3 linked regions of the Kluyveromyces lactis genome follow. The main gene of each other region encodes a partner of the protein of the gene in region 2 in a complex. Links are inferred from orthologs where the notes say so. Each region holds a gene or a part of one and is shown on either strand. Other genes may lie near its edges. The genes, in order: MRPL17, MRPL35 and MRPL31.

Region 1 (2,899 bases), on a different chromosome or scaffold from region 2:
GTTTATTTTCAGAGGACATATCGGTACAGGACTCTTGTTTGAAAGAACTTCTAGGAAAGTTGCAAGTTGAACTGACAAAGAACCAAAAATTGGTTCAAGTAAACAAACAGGCTCCTCGCTCGATAGATAATTCTACCTCTTCTACCTCTTCATCGTCAAGGTCTACTCGCTCAACGCAGTACGTTGGAAGAGACTCCAGAAATGACAGATCTAGATCACCCCCAAGAAACAAAAATGACAGATCTCGAGCACAGGCAACAACTTCTCTGCATTTATCTAGGCAACAGCAGCAACAACAACAACAACAACAACAACAACAGCAGCAGTCAATTAATGGTCAACAAGGAAATAACCATCATTTGTACCCAGATGAGCAGAATGTTCCCTCAAACCCTCATTTTAGGCCAAAACCGGTATCCTTTGATCCAACTGTGCCAAGGGACCACGTAAAAGTATATTCCAGAACCCTTTTCGTTGGTGGTGTCCCACAAAATTTCAAAGAACATGATATTGCAAGAATGTTAAGACAATTCGGTGAGGTTCAGAGTGTTATTTTGAATAATGCCCGTAAGCACGCCTTTGTGAAAGTCTATTCAAGAGCAGAAGCGGAGAGGATCATGGCGCATTTCACTGGTGGTGGCAATCCGACACATGGTTTGAGAATCCGTTGGGCCGTTGGTTTCGGTCCTAGAGACTGTTGTGACTATCAATATGGATATTCAATCATCCCATTGGCCAGGCTAACCGAAATTGACTTCAAATGGTCACAGTCCGCGGAATGGGGTGGTACTGGTGGTCAACCAATCCAAACAAACATGGTTTATGAGGAGCCCGATATTATTGTTGGTGAAGGTGTTTCATCAAAAGCGATTTCGCAAAAGATGCCAACTGATAAAGGTGTTTTGGGTCCCAAGTCTGGTAAAGTTGGTCAAGCTACTGCTGTCTCTCAAACACCTATCCCCTACAGTAATATATCTCCTCCTCCTCCTCCGGTTCAAACATCACAAATACCGAACGTTCCTCAAATCCAACAACAGTATTATAACCAGCCATTGTATCAGCAGCCTCCATCAATGGTATATGGTCAAAATCAACTGCTGGGATCGGCATCATCTGCGCAGCAGCAGCAGCAGCAGCAATCGCATCAGTCTACTCAACCTTCGGGCCAAAAATCTCCTCAACCCCCACAAAATTTCGATCCAACTGCGCAATTAAACACATTGATGAATATTTTGAACCAAACGCCAAAATAATGCTTATATAAATGCACTTAAATAATTTTCTGTATCTGATAGCCTTTATGCATATGCAATTCACTCACTACTTTGTTCTATTAGTGACACCACTTGGAAAGTTATCAAATCCGTATATCGTGATCGATTATTTCATATTGAAAAATTTTGGAATAGTAGGCATGAGAGGATGTTCAAACAATTTGAAAAATTATTGGAACATCAGCATCATGTTGAAATAGTGCCGCTTATCAGAATTGGGAAGCATATTCACCAGCTGTCAATCATCGTGTATATTCAGTCAGCAACCCTCTTCATCGACACAATTATAAATAAAAATGTCTGTGAAAGCAGCAGCAAGCTCGATTCCCAAGGCAGTAAAGGCAGGTTTGGTACTTTCTCGTGTTCCAATCGTCACTCCAGAATTGAATGCACTAGAGAACAAGTACTACCAATACCAGGCAGAACTGGAAAGAAGACTAATGTGGACATTTCCATCTTATTTCTATTTCAAAAAAGGTACTTTGGCAGAGCGTCGTTTCCAGTCTGTACAGAAAGGTGTGATTAGCAAGCAGCCTGGTGTATGGTTCCCTAAAGGAGTGCCAGACGTCAGACATAACAGAGAAAGAAGTCAAAAGCAAGATATTATGCTACCAAGAGAGGCTTCAGAAGGTTCAAACAAGTCTGATGTCTCAAGGCCAATTGTTCCTAATTCCAGAACTACAAAGGCAGACGAAAATAACGATATTACTAGTTTAGACAGAAAATTGGACAGAACTCTGCATTTGCTTGTGAAGGATGACAAGGGAAGCTGGGTTCTTCCAAGTTTCCCGGTTGATATTGAAGCTAAGGAAGGAAAGAAAGCTTTACATGAGACCGCTGAAGTGGGATTAAGAAAAATCGGCGGAGAAGATATTAATACATGGACTGTGTCGAATACTCCAGCAGGTGTTCTACAATCTGAAAAAGATCTCCAGTTTTTGATCAAATCGCATATCATAGCAGGTGAATTCAAGTTAAAGGATGAAAAGTCAATCAAAGAATTTGCATGGTTGACAAAAGATGAAATCAAGAAAGCTGTTGACGAGAGATATTTCAATAGTATACAATATGTTCTTGCTGAGAATTAACATATTATCATCAAACACAGAAAGTATTGGCATGATTTAATCACTATATATATATGTAAACCCTCCTGTAAATACTGCTTCGGATAGAAATTCCAACCCGTATCGAACACTAAAAGATAACAATCATATACATATTGCTGAACTCTGATTGATTTTAAGATTGGAACATTATATACTTGTAAGAATGCTAATTAACTTTTAAATCTATCACCATCTATCATTTGGCTTTCTAAAAGAAGACCCTGTGTTGGAGCGACCAAACGACTTCTCACTGAATTTATCAGCATCTCTCTTGTATGGTTGTTTGCGCAGCTCTTTATCCCTCTTCCCGCGCTGTGGTGTGTCTCTTTGAGTTCTACTGCTCCGATCGGTGCTTTTCTTAACAAAATCATTTCGTTTACGATCATCGGTCGATACCATAGTTTTCGGTCTGCCTGAACGTAAATCAACCATTGTCATTTTATCAAGAGCACCAGTGGTGTAAAATATTAAGCACGACTTTGACCACTTGATTGTGGAACGTGATGAATTTTTAAC
Region 2 (3,193 bases):
TGCGCGATAATGCATATGTCAAAGGTTGCCTTCAAAGAGGGTTCATCGAAACATGGGAATGCTCTGCGAGCATCCGTTGCCTCGAACTGAGTGGAAAACATTACCTTATTTTCACCGGTAACAAAATCAGTATAATCTGAACGGTAGAATCCAGACATATTAGTCTGAATCATACCCTTATAATCGATCTTCAACACGAATTCATCATCAGATATACTCTCCGGAAATTTCAAGGAAACAACATCGTTCTCTAAATCGAAACTATGGTCCTTCATTCCCAAAGACACAGACCCCTCTTTCAGTTCAACCACCGCAGAAACGATCTCAATGTCCCTCATATTCAATGAAATCATGTCATTGGCATTAACAGTGGACATAATAATACGCACGGATCCGATAAATGAATTGTGCTCAGCATCTAACTCACTCAATTCAATCTCATAATGGTTGGCCCTAAAGTCGGTTGGTAGAGTTTGAATCTTAACGTCAGCCATCTTTCAGTGAATCAGGTATAAACTATTCCAATACCTAATTGGTTCTCTGGATATATCACCCCAGTTGTCTTATATAGTGAAAAATCCAATATGAAATCAAAGAGTAGGTGTCATTCAAAGCTTTATCAAAGGTCTTAAGTGTTATCAATCTGTTTTCGTCAATGTGTCAAAATTTTTTTCTACCTTCCCTGCTGAAAAGCTCAGAAGTGAGCGTAGAAATTTTGATATAAGACGGAGTAGTATGAAAAGAGAAGCTCCTCCATTATCCAGCAGCACAACTGCTCATACGTTTCACCTCTTGTGTAGTTTTGGCAGTAGTTTCTTTGACCTATTAAACATTTTGCGCAGTATTGAAGAAGACCGTCTCTTTAGCTGATCTCCGACATCAGAGTCAATTGAGTCGCTTATATCAGAATCGGAGCTGAACATAGAGGGAAAAGCTCTCTCTGTTGGAGTTTGTGTATCAAACTGCGAGTAAACTTGAAGTTTAGATATTAGTATGGTAACTGCCTCGACATCGTGCCTTAACTCTGTAGAATTCGGTTCTGAACCGTTCATATTTGATTTAATAAGCTTTTGAATATTATACAGGATAATACAGGGAATGAGAAGTAAACCTACAATGCTGATTGGCAAAGGGTCTTTATACCAGGAAAAAGTTGAGGCATCTTGTCTTTACAGATCTGAAACAATGTCGCGATGAGCATTCTCATATAAGATTCGTCGTTTCAAACATAAATGATCATTATAATCCGCATATAGGAAAGGGAAGAAGAAAATATACAAAGAAAGATGGATATGATGGGTTCGCTGGATCAGAAGAGCGTCATTTGCAACATATGAAACCGAATGGCAGTCTCAAAGGCAAAGCTTACCAGTTATTGATCTCTGAACTTCCACTTGGAGCGAGAGGCACGATCTTCTGTTACCCGGACTGAAACACATTAAAATTTTTTGGTGAAAAATCGATTTCGAACGATTCAGATGAGTTTTAAGTATGAACGGACAATGAAGATACATGAATAATCAGTTGTAGGATCCCATTGGAGGGTGTTTCAGAGACTAACAACTCGAATTGGAGAATGTTGCGTAGAGGGTTGCACAGCAGTGCCAAATGTTTAGAGAAAACCGGGGTATGGTCGGACTTTTCTAAGAGATCCAAGTCGCTTGGTTTAGCATCAGAATCGATTAAGAAATACATCTTTCAAGGCGACAGCGATGACGTTAGAAGACGAGGTCCACCGTCTTTGAAGCGGAGGATGAACCGTTTGAAGTATACCTCTCCTGAACATATTGATGAGATGTTCCGCTTGAGTTATGAGTTTATGAGTAAGCGCGCTGAAGAGAAGTATTCGCAACTAGAAAATGAGACTGATGCCAAGGTACGTGCTAAGTTAGAAACAGAGGCTGAATTGCATAACCCAGAGGTCCAATACAATTTTCAGTATCATGACAAGTTAGAGAACGATACTAGAGTGATAGATTATGCTGTTCCAGTGTACAGGCGTTTGGGGCTGAAGCATTGGGAATCCTACGAAAAAATGTTGTTAATGCAAAGACTAGAGACTTTGAGTGTAATCCCCGATACGTTACCTACTTTACAACCAAGAGTACAGGTTAATTTACGTTTCCCATTCAGTACTGGTGTGAACAAATGGGTTGAACCTGGTGAAATTTTGTCCTCCAACACGACTTCGATGGTTCCAACAATTAAGATTCAAGAGTACGAGAACGGTATCGACTTCGAAAAGCAAAAATACACTGTGGTAATTGTGAATCCAGATGAACCGGATGTGTTGAATGATACATTCAAGACGACTTTGGCGTTCGGTTTGACTAATTTAAAGATAGACTATAACGACAACGTGGTAGATCCAAGAAAATACAATGAATCGCAGATTCTTGCAGATTACATTCCTCCAGTACCTGAGAAAAATGTTGGCAAGCAAAGGTTCTCTGTATGGGTATTCAGACAGAATGGTGATTTGGAATCCCCTGAACCAGTCGATAGAGAAAACTTCGATATTAGAGAATTTGTTCGTTCCCACAACTTGGACCCGGTTGGTGCTCATGTTTGGAGATCAGAATGGGATTCTAACGTGGCAAACATTAGAGAGAAATACGGATTACCAGAAGGGAGAGTGTTCCATAGAGTTCGTAGATCTGTTGTATGAAAAAAAAAATGAAAGTTTCCAGAAAGAGTTTATTTCCTCCTCGTCTCTCTCGCGATATATATGATTACACACTTTTCAACAACCTCAGGTGGTCTGAATAATATCTCATACCTCATGTAAATAATATGCAATGTAGAAAATCAATGCAACATACGCAAATCATAAAAAAAACTAAAAAGCTTGTTCGAATCTATTAAGAATATGATCATTAGTTAACATTTATTCCCGGTAACATAATAAATTATATAGTAATAATACGGTGTATGGTGCGTGCGTTCATGTGCGTCTGTTTTTTTGGACTGCCTCTGATTGAATATTTTCCTAGAGGCTATATATAGAATCTTCTTTTTTTTTGGCTGTTTCTTCTTCATATGTTATTGTATTGGCTGTAAATCTAATCGTAACAAAAAAAAGGATTCGTGAGGTCTTTCGTTCTTAGTCGAGGAAAGCAGATATAACTCTTGTTGTCATCATTTCTTGTTGACTACCAGAATTCAAACAGAGAATACAACCTTTTATTTTTCT
Region 3 (2,046 bases), on a different chromosome or scaffold from region 2:
ACCCGGTCCAATTTCATCATTGAAAGCGATGTCTCTAATATTAAAGAGATCAAGAGTAATATGAGACAGCTCACGAAATTGATGGCTGAGAAACAAACACACCACAATGAGCTCATGAAACAATTGCAATCACAGCTGCAAAGACAGCAAACTAAAGTGCAGGCACTTAAAAAGAATTTTCAGGAGCAAACAAGCCAAGTGAAACGCGTAGAGGACGAATTAAACATACCGAAATTGCAACAAGACATAGATAAACTGGTACAGGAAATTAACCAGCTTCGAGATACGATACAAGAGGGTATTCAAAAGGTCGTAGAAACACAGAAACAATTACTCAATGACGATACTGATGCTGCCCACACGATTGATGAGGAACCGATCGGTAAAGATGACAAGATACGTGTGCTAAAGTTGAAGTTGTTCCATTCCCTTGACGTAGCACTATATAATGACCAATTGCTCGATCTAAGGAATGAAGCCCGTCCATTATCATCATCATCATCATCTCACAACATCTGGGATGAACTATGATACCTTGATTTTATTCACTATGTACAGGGGCTACTTACTATGTAATAATAGAAGTTTTTAATGATGATTCATCCAAATCAGAAATGACGTGGGTTTCTTCTGATGGAAAGCTTGGTCCATTTGGGAACTTTATGTATACCCTTTCTATATCCCTTCGAGTACCTGTTGAATACACTGTACTTATCAGTAGCAGACATCTCCGGTTCCTTTGGGAAATACTGAGCCTTGTCTAAAATACGTAAGCTCTTCACACGAGGTTTAATCTTACGTAGATTCAGCTGAGATCCCTCAGAAACCGCCATATGGTTTCTTTCAAGATGAAGACCTAACTTAAGAGTTGAAAGAACATCATCAACGCTTCTCAAACGGTCTCTTTGTCTTGCTTTTTGAGGACCAGACATACGCCATGGGACTTTCCATAATAATCCACCTAATGCAGGTTGTGTAGCTCTGAATGCACCGAACATTTCTCTATGAAACAAAGATATTCAATTGACCCGGGTATGACAGAACCTAACGAGCTGCTTAAACAGTTTGTATAACGGTGCTACTGGCTGGCTTTTACCAATTTCCCACCGTAATTCATGGTATTAAATCTTTTAAACCTTCGAAATTTTTCAAAGTATCCATGAAAAAGCTTTAAATCTCAACATTATGCAAATGAACAATGTCAACTGATTTAAACGATTTTGGGGAACAGCCAGCGTATTGTCATTTGTAGCTGCTGCTGTGTCCATAACCATAGGTCAGAAGTTCTTATAGTACTGGAATACTGCACCACAAAGATAGATTATTCATTTAGAAATGTCAGAGGGCGTTGGAAAGCATAATCAAAGATTACCAATTTGGGTATTGAACCCTACCGAGGAGAAAGAAGCTCGTCAGAATTTGAAGAAATTTGCATATGCACAATGTGTAGAATACGTGGAGGCCATGGTCGAATGTTCAAAGATTCATGGATTGAAGCTTTTCCCAGCGTGTAACGAACCTCGTGACGCTATGCGCAAATGTATATTATCATACCAGAAGGATTCTAATCTGGATCGTCAACGTGACTTGATAGTGGAACGTAAGATTGAGAGACTTGAGGATCTTCTCAAGAAACAAAAGGAATAAAGTTGACATGATATGACATGACATGACATGCCACTGGGGTTACTTGTATATAGTAGTAGATACTGCACCATAATAAATTAACATTTTAGAAAGGCACATCCATGATTGAAGTTTATCTGCTTCATTGTTTCCCATTATAATTATAGTTTGTACAGGTGTTCAAAAGAGTAAACTAGTTTACATTAAGTCTAGAAGATCGGTTGCATGGGAATTCGAGGTGTTGTTGTTGTTATTATTGGTTTTCTGTGAAATGTTTACTTTCCCCATATCACCAGTGATATCGAAAAGATCATTTAGTTCGTCCAGGACGCCTGTACTTCTCGTGGCAGAGCTATCACCCATGTCAAGTAGTACATCATCGTTCATGTTTTTCAGGATCTCGTTCGTGGCCATTCCCTT

The links.
Region 1: MRPL35 (region 2) and MRPL17 share a complex: the UniProt entries of both Saccharomyces cerevisiae proteins name them as parts of the mitochondrial large ribosomal subunit. The link is inferred for Kluyveromyces lactis from reciprocal best matches to the Saccharomyces cerevisiae genes MRPL35 and MRPL17.
Region 3: MRPL35 (region 2) and MRPL31 share a complex: the UniProt entries of both Saccharomyces cerevisiae proteins name them as parts of the mitochondrial large ribosomal subunit. The link is inferred for Kluyveromyces lactis from reciprocal best matches to the Saccharomyces cerevisiae genes MRPL35 and MRPL31.

The regions. Positions count from the first base shown.
Region 1 is NC_006039.1:256,956-259,854, reverse strand, and holds MRPL17 (mitochondrial 54S ribosomal protein mL46), read left to right. Parts: upstream 1-1,570; coding exon 1,571-2,362; downstream 2,363-2,899. Other genes in the region: Nrd1 complex RNA-binding subunit, read left to right, coding at 1-1,253; TEX1 (Tex1p), read right to left, coding at 2,570-2,899. UniProt on the Saccharomyces cerevisiae protein: Component of the mitochondrial ribosome (mitoribosome), a dedicated translation machinery responsible for the synthesis of mitochondrial genome-encoded proteins, including at least some of the essential transmembrane subunits of the mitochondrial respiratory chain.
Region 2 is NC_006040.1:1,119,369-1,122,561, forward strand, and holds MRPL35 (mitochondrial 54S ribosomal protein mL38), read left to right. Parts: upstream 1-1,576; coding exon 1,577-2,668; downstream 2,669-3,193. Other genes in the region: KLLA0_D13068g (M1 family metallopeptidase), read right to left, coding at 1-494; KLLA0_D13079g (uncharacterized protein), read right to left, coding at 786-1,052. UniProt on the Saccharomyces cerevisiae protein: Component of the mitochondrial ribosome (mitoribosome), a dedicated translation machinery responsible for the synthesis of mitochondrial genome-encoded proteins, including at least some of the essential transmembrane subunits of the mitochondrial respiratory chain.
Region 3 is NC_006041.1:1,082,202-1,084,247, forward strand, and holds MRPL31 (mitochondrial 54S ribosomal protein mL60), read right to left. Parts: upstream 999-2,046; coding exon 609-998; downstream 1-608. Other genes in the region: kinetochore-associated Ndc80 complex subunit SPC24, read left to right, coding at 1-531; CMC1 (Cmc1p), read left to right, coding at 1,336-1,647; APL2 (Apl2p), read right to left, coding at 1,825-2,046. UniProt on the Saccharomyces cerevisiae protein: Component of the mitochondrial ribosome (mitoribosome), a dedicated translation machinery responsible for the synthesis of mitochondrial genome-encoded proteins, including at least some of the essential transmembrane subunits of the mitochondrial respiratory chain.